2 linked regions of the Sus scrofa genome follow. The main gene of each other region encodes a partner of the protein of the gene in region 2 in a complex. Links are inferred from orthologs where the notes say so. Each region holds a gene or a part of one and is shown on either strand. Other genes may lie near its edges.

Evidence for each region.
Region 1: THOC6 (region 2) and CHTOP share a complex: the UniProt entries of both Homo sapiens proteins name them as parts of the transcription/export (TREX) complex. The link is inferred for Sus scrofa from reciprocal best matches to the Homo sapiens genes THOC6 and CHTOP.

The regions. Positions count from the first base shown.
Region 1 is NC_010446.5:96,002,284-96,007,206, forward strand, and holds the start of CHTOP (chromatin target of PRMT1 protein), read right to left. Parts: upstream 3,332-4,923; 5' UTR 3,022-3,331; intron 1,853-3,021; 5' UTR 1,836-1,852; coding exon 1,771-1,835; intron 455-1,770; coding exon 301-454; intron 1-300. UniProt on the Homo sapiens protein: Plays an important role in the ligand-dependent activation of estrogen receptor target genes. May play a role in the silencing of fetal globin genes.
Region 2 is NC_010445.4:39,161,467-39,166,353, reverse strand, and holds the start of THOC6 (THO complex subunit 6 homolog), read left to right. Parts: upstream 1-1,722; 5' UTR 1,723-2,017; coding exon 2,018-2,056; intron 2,057-2,081; exon of another isoform or gene 2,082-2,240; intron 2,241-2,820; coding exon 2,821-2,936; intron 2,937-3,028; coding exon 3,029-3,093; intron 3,094-3,183; coding exon 3,184-3,287; intron 3,288-3,366; coding exon 3,367-3,404; intron 3,405-3,487; coding exon 3,488-3,536; intron 3,537-3,671; coding exon 3,672-3,743; intron 3,744-3,841; coding exon 3,842-3,944; intron 3,945-4,027; coding exon 4,028-4,077; intron 4,078-4,165; coding exon 4,166-4,228; intron 4,229-4,328; coding exon 4,329-4,439; intron 4,440-4,524; coding exon 4,525-4,659; intron 4,660-4,739; coding exon 4,740-4,820; 3' UTR 4,821-4,887. Other genes in the region: HCFC1R1 (host cell factor C1 regulator 1), read right to left, coding at 531-666, 908-1,036, 1,150-1,206, 1,518-1,612. UniProt on the Homo sapiens protein: Component of the THO subcomplex of the TREX complex which is thought to couple mRNA transcription, processing and nuclear export, and which specifically associates with spliced mRNA and not with unspliced pre-mRNA.

The DNA of each region.
Region 1 (4,923 bases), on a different chromosome or scaffold from region 2:
GGTGGAAAAAGCCAGTGAATCTATCTTAAGGGCAAAGGATCAGAAAACAAGAGATTAATACTCATTAACAACACAGAAACAGGCCACATTGATGGCAAACTCCCTAAAAGAAAAAGACAATAAAAAGTTACTTATTGGTACCTGCCCAAATGGAAATTCTCTGAACTTCTCTTTCCTCCAGAGAAGTTCTGCTTTTGCCCTGAGCCACCTGGTAATGATCCATCACGTCGCTACAGCCTCAAGGGACTGCCTGACAGAGATCACCAGCTGCTTCTGGAGCATTAAGACCCATTCTCTCACCTGCTTAAGTTTTAATGCTGCCTGGACAGAGGGTCTATTCTCCATCTGCTGGGCCAGTCTTCTGTTTCTGGCACTGGCTAGCTGCTGTTGTTGCTGCATCGAAGCCCGAATATTCACTGGCATCGGTTGTTTGTTCTTCAGCATATTAGTAAAGCTTCAAGGTCGAACAAAATGGATGTTTAAATAAAAGCTTTATTACAAAACATTTACTGGCATTTTCATGGCTTGCTAGACCAGGAGCTCCAGATCCCACGAACTTTAAGTAAAGCGGTACACTTAGATCAAGGCTGATGTGGGTTAAAGACTCCTCCGCTTCCACAAACTTGCAAGAATCAGAAACTCAGAAATGCAGCTAAGTGTAGCACATTCAATCAAAAGTGATAACAAGGGCTCAGGTAACGGCTTTTAGAGATAGAAAGCATGAAAAACACGCAATAAGCAGATATGATGACAAGAGACAGAAGATGTAGTTTCAAAGACAGACAAAGCAAGCCAAATCCTTTGGGACCTGAGGGTGCATTTTAAGGGCGTATATAAGGACGGACTAGAGCACCTTCAAAGCCTATGGAAATGATACATCCACATAAATTACAGGAGTATATCACATTTTTTTCATAAGTGGTTCACGCAGTAACATGTGAATATGAAGAATTAGTGTACCACGTGCCCTAAGAAGCACATATGCTTCAGAAAAGGCAGACAAACACAAGTAAATCTTATGTTTAACAGCAACTTAATAAAATCATTTGTCAAAGGCACTCAAGGAACAAGGCCCTCAGAGACAGAAAGTGCCTTTAAATACCTTAACTTTTCTTAGTTTCAAATGATTACTTTTTCTGACTCCAAGTTGATTACTTCTGAAAAGTTAAGATTAGTTCAATCATTGAGGCTCTTGTGAAGACACTCTTCTATTATTCCTGTCGAATTTAACGGAATGAAAGAGAAGAACACTTAAGCGCAAAAGAATCCAAAACAAAAACAAACTAAAAGCAGAATGGAAAGAAAGTGAAATGGAGCAAAGCAAGTGCCTCTTACAAGGTCCAAGAATGACATTCAAGGGCCTTTGGACATATTCATAGCTTGCTACCTGCCTCTTACAGGCCAGACACAACACTGCTGGCCTTGGACTGGGCAGCAAGCCTACTGCAGCCGGGGTTCCATGCTACCAAGCTGCACCACCCCTGTATCAATGTAAAAAAAATGTGAAGAAAATGGAGGGTGTGAGGAGTCTTTTAAAATACATCCCACCAGAGAAATATTTCAGACAGCTTAACATAAAAATCTACTGATAAGTGGTTTTGAAACAACCGCCCAATTTGTTTTGTGTACCACATAAGATGCTACTAAGAACAGAGGTCTGTAGCCTTCTGTTGGTATTTAGCTTAAAACTGGTTTTTGTGCATTGGACCCAGGGCCAACTTAAGTAATGTTTTCTTATGAACGAGCTGAAGTTGCTGTTGGCTGCCTCACCGCTCATTTAGAGACATCTTGGTGGTGCTTTTTAGCACAACTTTCGGTGCTGACTGTGCAGCCATCTTCAAATCCCGAGAATCTACAAAAGACAATGGGCAAAGTGAGCAAATCAGAATGATGACTACCTCATTTCAACAGGGCCAAAGGCCCAAACCAAAAATGAATGAATAGGCCTGTCTCAATGACTACTGAAGATCACACCAAAACTCATTTCAGGTGCTTACATTTAGAAGCTAAGTTATCTGGAATTAATAAACTTCAAGGCCACATGACAGAAAATACCTGCCCAAGCCTCCAAAAATGGCAGACCTAGACCTAGCCAAAGAAAGTGTTTGGCTTTTCATCTAGAGCGGTCCTTCTCTACCTTGGCTGCAAGGAGCTTTAAAAAACAACAACAGGAGTTCCCTTCATGGCTCCGCGGTCACAAACCCAACTAGCATCCTTGAGGATGTGGGTTGGACCCCTAGCCTCGCACAGTGGGTTAAGGATCTAGCGTTGCTGTGGGTTGTGGTCTAGGCCGGCAGCTACAGCTCCAATTCGACCTCTAGCCTTGGAACTTCTATATATGCGGCCCTAAAAAGACAAAACAACAACAAAGACAGACACAAAATACAGAAGCTTCGGCCCAAACCATTTAAAGCACAATCTCTGCTGGTGAGGTCTGGGGATCAGCAATTAGAAGGTGGTGCGGGGAGGGGGGGTGGTGTCTAACTTGCTGCTTCTCATGTGCAGCCAAAATTCAGAACCACTGCTCTAGAGAGATGATACAGGTTTACCAGTTTACAAATTGGCTTTCAACTCCAAAGTCTTGCAGGAACCTTAGCAAGGGACTGGGGACGTGGGGGAGGGATGGAGTAGGAAAGGTTTCCTAAATGGGCGTTCACCTGGGAGTTCGATCCCAGAGAGCACGCCACAAAATTTAACTCTACAGCTGCCAGTGCATTCTGACGTTCCCTAAAGCCGTGTAGTCCTCCTCTGAACTCCCATCTCAAAGCCCCGTCCGGGACCGCCAACGTTGCTCAACCCGCCCAGCAATGTTCCTTTCTATTCCTACCAAATCCCAACCTCCAGCAGCGAGTTTCCAGCTCGGGGCCTCCCCCGCCTCCCTCTCAGGGGCTCCGCCCCCTCCCGGGGCCTCCACTCCCCGACACCCAATCTGCTTCCACATCCCACCAGCTCCCACTCCACGACCGCCGGGCCCGGGCGCTCCCCAAGACTTTTGCCCTCCTTCTCACCACAGAAACGTACCGAAGGAAACGGACGCCAGTGCTCCTCCCGGGGTTGCCACCACGGCTGCGACAGGCTGGCCGGGGGCCGGCCGAACCTGAGTTGACGGTGGAGGGGCTCGGATTAACTTGGTGGGCGGTTGGTTGTATGTGTTAAACGGTAGAATGCTAGGTTAGTTCGTTGATGCTGGGTGGCTGTCCGGTCGGCCGGTTCGCCTGCTCGCCCGGCGTGCCCTTTCCTGCCTTTCACCACAGCCGCTGCCGCCAACTCCCGCTCGCTCTCCAAAACAAAATGGCCGCCACGCCCAGTGCGGAATGGGACCGGCTAAAATGGCGTCGACGCCATTACGTCAGACGTCAGGTCTGCGCACAGCGCAGGAGGCGGGAAAATTTGTGTTACGCCTGCGCGGGGGATGAGGCGGAGCTCCAGGGAAAAGGCGGGGCTTTAGGCTGTATTACACTCCGAGCCCCACCCGGGAAGGGGCGTGGCCAATATATTCTCTCTTGGGTTTTAAGGCGGCTGCAAGTTGGTGATTTGGGACGTTCAAGGCGGATTTGGTCCTCTTAAGAAAAGAAGTTCGTATTTCATTGCGGGTCCCTCCACCCCTAAAGCTAAGGCAGACCGACTAAAATTCTTTACGCGACATGACTCGGTCTTTCTTCCGAGAGCCACCGGGCCGGTGTAATTTGCGCTGGCTCCCCCCTCAGCATACGCCCCTTTTAGAGTTGTGGGTTGCCATAAACGCACCTGGGGACCAGTGCAGGGAGCACACCTCACTGGATCCTGCACCACGCACCACTGCCCGTCCATATTTTTCTCTTCACTTCCCTTCCCAATTTGGCCTGAAGATTGTTAAATTCTTATTTGGGGGAAGCTTTGCGTCCCCGCAACCTATTCCAATGTCTTCTCCCTCCATCTAGCTTCCATGTGGATTTTGATGCAGACCTATATGGCATTTTCCTTATACCTGGGCACACAATAAAAGGCTCAGATGGGAGTTCCCGTCGTGGCGCAGTGGTTAAGGAACCCAACTAGGAACCATGAGGTTGCGGGTTCGATCCCTAGCCTTGCTCAGTGGGTTAACGATCCGGCATTGCTGTGAGCTGTGGTGTAGGTTGCAGACGCGGCTCGGATCCAGCGTTGCTGTGGCTCTGGCGTAGGCCAGGTGGCTGCACCTCTGATTCAACCCCTAGCCTGGGAACCTCCATATGCCGTGGGAGCGGCCCAAGAAATAGCAAAAAAAGACCAAAAAAAAAAAAAGGCTCAGATGTTGGAAGAATGAGTGAATGAACATGTCCTCAGTTCCACCTCCACTCTCTTAAAGGCGCATGAGATCCTTTCATTTTCCTTCCTAGCATTTATACGTGTATGTTTAATGGTTTGGCACCCTTTACTGGACTTCACCTATGTGACAGTGAGGGTTGTGTTTGTTTTGCTCACTGCTGTATTCCCAGTTTCCACACAATGTCTAGCACGGGGTAGGTCTTCAGCACATATTCTTCGAAAGTTGAAGGGCAATTTTTCTGGCTTCAAAGCTGAAAAGCTGATGTCTCTGCCACTTCCAGCTGGAACCTTGAGCCTCTACCTTTCTGGGCCTTGAGCATTCCTTAAGTAGGAAGATGTAATGGTTCCTTGATCTTTCTCCAAAATAAGATCCCTCCCCAAATAAAGCAATTTGGGAGTGAACAGCCTTCACTTCCCCACCCATTTCCAAACCCTGAAGGACCAGAGACAGCAGCTGGTGGCTGGTGAGAGAGGAGCCTTTAATGAAAGATGAGTTGCAGGCCTGGCCCACTACTCTTGCGCCCCTGTTGGAGGGTAGGCAAGGGTGAGAAGGTGGGGAGGGAACAGCGGGATGAAGGGGAAGCAGGGTGAAGAGGCAGGTATGGCAGGGTGGAGGGGAAGGGCGCTGCCCAATGGGAC
Region 2 (4,887 bases):
TATTTATTTGGGGGAGAAAGTTTTTTTGGGGGGGAGTTTATTAAAAAAAATCTTTTAACTTTAAAAGGTTCGGAGTGGCATGATCCCCAGCCCAACTTTCCAGAGCTGGAGGGAGGAGTGAGTCAGCCGCGGGGGTGGGGGTGAGGCTGTGACTCACACATTCTCAATGCCTGAGCCCAGCCTGCCAGGACCTGGCCGGGCCTTGACCGTTTTCCAGGGAAGATCTTGAGGAGAAACTCCAGCATCCAGGACCCCAGCCCTGCCCCTCCTTTTCCAAAGGCCCTGGGTTCCAGCCTGAAGCCTTCATTTGCTCATCAATCTTTATTCGGTTCTTGGGGGGGGGTCTCCCTTCCCATGCTCCTGCCCCTCCCACCCCAGGACTCTGGGGGGCTCAATGTCCTGTTGAGAGAAGGTCCTGGTGCCCAGAGGCCTGGTCTGGAGGAAAAGCAGGGTAGCTGGTCCCTCTGTGGGCATGCTGGTCTTCCCTGTTGTGAGGAAGGAAGGAGGGCAGGGGCACTGTCCGCCAGCACTCAGAGCTCCATTATGTCCACGGCTGAGGTTGCAGGGGAGTGGGGGGTGGGGGTGTCCCCCCGCCTCAGCAGCCGGAGTGCCTCGGGGATCAGGTTCCCAGGGTAGCGCCAGAGAAGCAGCTCGGGGCAAGAGGTTCTGGAAGAGGAAATGACAATCAGAAGAGAGCTGAGGCTGGCCTGGCAGAGCCACACCCCACCTGGTCCAGGTTCCCAGGGGCTCCTAGGCTGCTGGCACCTTCTTAGGAGCCAAGATGGGAAACAGCAGAGGTTGGCTAGAAGCTAAAAATAGCAGGATGAGGCAGAGCCTGGAGACTGGCTCTGAGGATTGGGTATGATCCTCCAGAAGGCCCCGCTGGTGGACTGTGGATAGTGCCTACCTGAGTGGGGGCAGAGCTGGGGAGAGAGCCATGGGGGGGCTGCAGTACGGGTGGTCATTGTGCAAGCTCAGCTGAGAAAAATGGGTGGCCATGTTCTCCTCAGACAGGAACTGCTTGCGCAGGGGCTCCCTGGGGAGAGACGGGGAGGCAGGCAAGCTGGGATATTCAGAGGAGAAGTAGTATGATGGGGACCTGAGGTGACAGAGGTCTTGCTGGGAGTTCCTCCCTGCCCCCAAACTCACTGCTCCGCCTCCAGGCGCCGCTTGGTGCTCATGGGCACAGCTCCTCGGAGAGGGGAGCTGGGAAGAAAAGAGAGCCAGGAGCATCCCACCCTCTTGGCCCCATCCCAAGGATCTGCCCGCCTAAGCCAGCGCGTCAGCCAGGAGCGCCCAGCCCATCTCCGTCTCAGCTGACGCCCAAGTCACCCCCTCTCTCAAACCATCCAGAAGCCTGCCTGGGAGGTCTCAGTCCCCAGTCTCCGACCGTGGCTCAGCTCACGCCCAAGCCCTGCGGACAATCCCCACCGTGTGTCAGCCTGCAGACCAGCCTGAGGCCACAGCCAAAGCTCCTGGGCCCCCGAGCCAGGCCCGCCTAGGGCTCCCATACACACCTCGCGTCCAGGCCTCGGGGCACTCCCGAGGTGGCCCGCGGGTCGCGCTGGGCCCGACCCTGGGGGCCTCGCTCCAGGGGCTGCTGCAGGATCATTGGGGTTCGAGGTCCTGCGGTCTGAAGGGGTGGGATCCAGGCGCCGGGGAGGAGTCTCCGAGGGCGTGGCCCAACGCGTAGGGCGTGGCTTTAGGCGTACGCAGCGGCCAGAGTCTGCGCAGGCGCGGAAGGCTGACGGCACGCGGCTGGAAGGCGGGTCTGCTCTGCGGGGTGGGGGCGGGGGCCCGCCGTAGCGGGGTTGCGGTGGGTACCACTTAGTCTTGGGATCTTCTTGGCGGTCACCTGCGCTGCTGGGACTCGGGTTACGCAGAGGCCGTCTTCACGCCGGGCTGGCCAGCGGTGTTGGGGAGGTAGGGCGCCGCGAAGGGGAGCTGCTCCGGAGGCACTTCCGGACTCGTGAGGCTACGTGGAGCGCGGAGCTCTCTGGGACTTTTAGTTCTCGAGATGGACCGAGCGGTGCCGCCGGCGGTGCCTCTGGGTCAGGTGAGGCGTGCGTGGTGCGCGGTGCCTTCTGGGGTTTGTAGTCCACGCCCGGCTTCGAAGCGGCTGGCAAGCAGTCGTGCCCTGATCTCTGTTTCGCGTGGGCTCTTGGTGGGACTCGGATTCTGACCCGTGGGCGGGAGAATAACCCAGAAATACCTCAGGGGCCTTACATGAAAGTCAAAAGGTAGGGATTAAAAGGGCGGGAGTTCCCGCTGTGGCGCAGCAGGATCGGCGGCGTCTTGGGATTGCTGGGATCCCCTGCACAGTGGGTTAAGGACCCGGCGTTGCCGCATCTGTGGCTTAAGTCTCGACTCCGTCTGGGATCTGATCTCTGGCCCGGGAACTCCATATGCTGCCGCAGGACGGTCAAAAAAAAAAAAAAAGTACATTTTTCTGTTTGGGAGTAAGGCCACTTTTTAAAGCGGTTTCTCCTTGTGCGAAGTTCTTTGTTTACAGTAGCTTATCCATTCGGGACAAAAATCTCCCAGGAGCTCCATTCCGTAGTTGAGGAAACCTGCAGGAGAGTCTGGATGCTTGCTAAAAGTTCCACTAAGCATCAAGCCGCACCGCTCTCCTTTCTCGCCTCCTTCTCAGAGCCGTTCCTGGGACTGTATGGGCAGGTGCCCCCTGGTGGGCTGTTTCACAGGAGGACTGAGAGGTCTCGGGGGTGCGAGGCTGGGCTGGCAGCAGGGAAAGCGGGCAGGAGTCTGTGGATCCGAGGTCTTGGAAGCCCCAGACAGCCTTCATCCAGTCTCTCTCCACAGATGGAAGTATTTCAGGCCCTGCAGCGGCTGCACATGACCATCTTCTCCCAGAGTGTCTCACCTTGTGGGAAGTTCCTGGCGGCTGGCAACAATTATGGGCAGATAGCCATCTTTAGGTACACTTGCCCCCGCTCCCCACCACCCGTTAGCTCCTGGGGCTGACGCCTCCTGCTTCTGACTCTCAGGCCCCTCTTCCCTCTCCCTTCAGCTTGTCTGCTGCTCTGAGCTCCGAGGCCAAAGAGGAAAGTAAGAAGCCCATTGTGACTTTCCAAGGTGGGTGCCGCCATCGAGTCTGTCTTGGGGAACCCCAGGGTGGATGAGAGGAGCAGGATGGGGTCACTCAGGTTCTGCCCTTGCATTTAGCCCATGATGGGCCTGTCTACAGCATGGTGTCCACTGATCGACATCTGCTCAGTGCCGGGGATGGGGAGGTGAAGGCCTGGCTTTGGGCGGAGATCCTTAAGAAGGTGAGTGTGGAGCTGGGGGAAGGGTGAGCTGCCCAGACCCAGAGAGAGTCTTTGTCACCCAATGTTTCCTTCCCCGAAGGGCTGTAAGGAGCTGTGGCGTCGTCAGCCCCCATACAGGTGAGCCAGGGCCATGTGGGCAGAGGGCACATGGAGGTGAAGGTATGGCCTCATCAGAGCTGACGTGGTTTTTCCTCCCCCAGGACCAGCCTAGAAGTACCTGAGATCAATGCTTTACTTCTCGTCCCCAAGGTTCGAGCCCTTTATAATCAGGGCCCTCCCCTGCCCTGTTCTTGGGCCAGATTTGATCCTTACCCTCCCCTGCCCTGACGTGACACTGACCTCTGACCCCACTCGCCCATGCCCTGCCCGCGCCTTCTTCTGCAGGAGAATTCCCTCATCCTGGCGGGTGGAGACTGTCAGCTGCACACGATGGACCTTGAGACGGGGGCCTTCACCGTGAGCTGTGGAGCTGGAGTGGCTGGGGGGGAGGCAGCAGGCGGGGAGGGGGGTGGCCTCTTCCTGGATCTTGTCCTGACACTGCCCTCTCCCTGCAGCGGGCCCTCCGCGGCCACACAGACTACATCCACTGCCTGGCGCTGAGGGAGAGGAGCCCCGAGGTGCTCTCTGGTGGCGAGGATGGGGCCGTACGGCTCTGGGGTAAGAGTGTCTGGAGGGAGAGGTGGTGGTGAGGGAGGCTGGGGCAAGTGGGGTGCCTGCCTCTCACGGCTCTTCCCACACAGACCTCCGCACGGCCAGGGAGGTCCAGACGATCGAAGTCTACAAGCATGAGGTGAGGGCACACCCCACGCCCCGTCCTCCCTTCCTCCTTTCTGGGCATCCCACGTCTCCACCTCCGCCTCGCCTCTCCTCCCTCCCAGGAGTGCTCGAGGCCCCACAATGGGCGCTGGATCGGATGTTTGGCAACTGACTCAGACTGGATGGTGAGCCGGGCCAAGTGCAGGATGGGGTGGCAGCGCTGGGCTCTGTCCAGCTGAGGCTCTGTGGCTCACAGAGGCTGGGGGCCCCCACCTTTCTGCCCAGGTCTGTGGAGGTGGCCCGGCACTCACCCTCTGGCACCTTCGATCTTCCACACCCACCACCATCTTCCCCATGCGGGCACCGCAGAAGCACGTTACCTTCTACCAGGACCTGGTGAGGCCTTCTATCTCCCTTCTGCTAAAGCCCTGCCTGCTCCCCTCCAGCTCTGAACCCCGAGCCCCATCCCTGTCTCCCACAGATTCTGTCAGCTGGCCAGGGTCGCTGCGTCAACCAGTGGCAGCTGAGTGGGGAGCTCAAGGCTCAGGTGCCTGGCTCCTCCCCTGGGCTGCTGAGCCTCAGCCTCAACCAGCAACCAGCAGCCCCTGAGTGCAAGGTGGGTCCTGGGAAGGCCGGTGGGAATCATGGGAGGCCAGGGTGTGGAGGGCAGGTCAGCCACTCCCCTCTTGCCTCTAGGTTCTGACAGCTGCAGGCAACAGCTGCAGGGTGGACGTTTTCACCAATCTGGGCTACCGAGCTTTCTCCCTGTCCTTCTGAGCTGCAGCAGCGCCTCCACATCCATCTCCGGAGTCTGGAGTGTTTCTTCTTTTTTTTATACAAATAA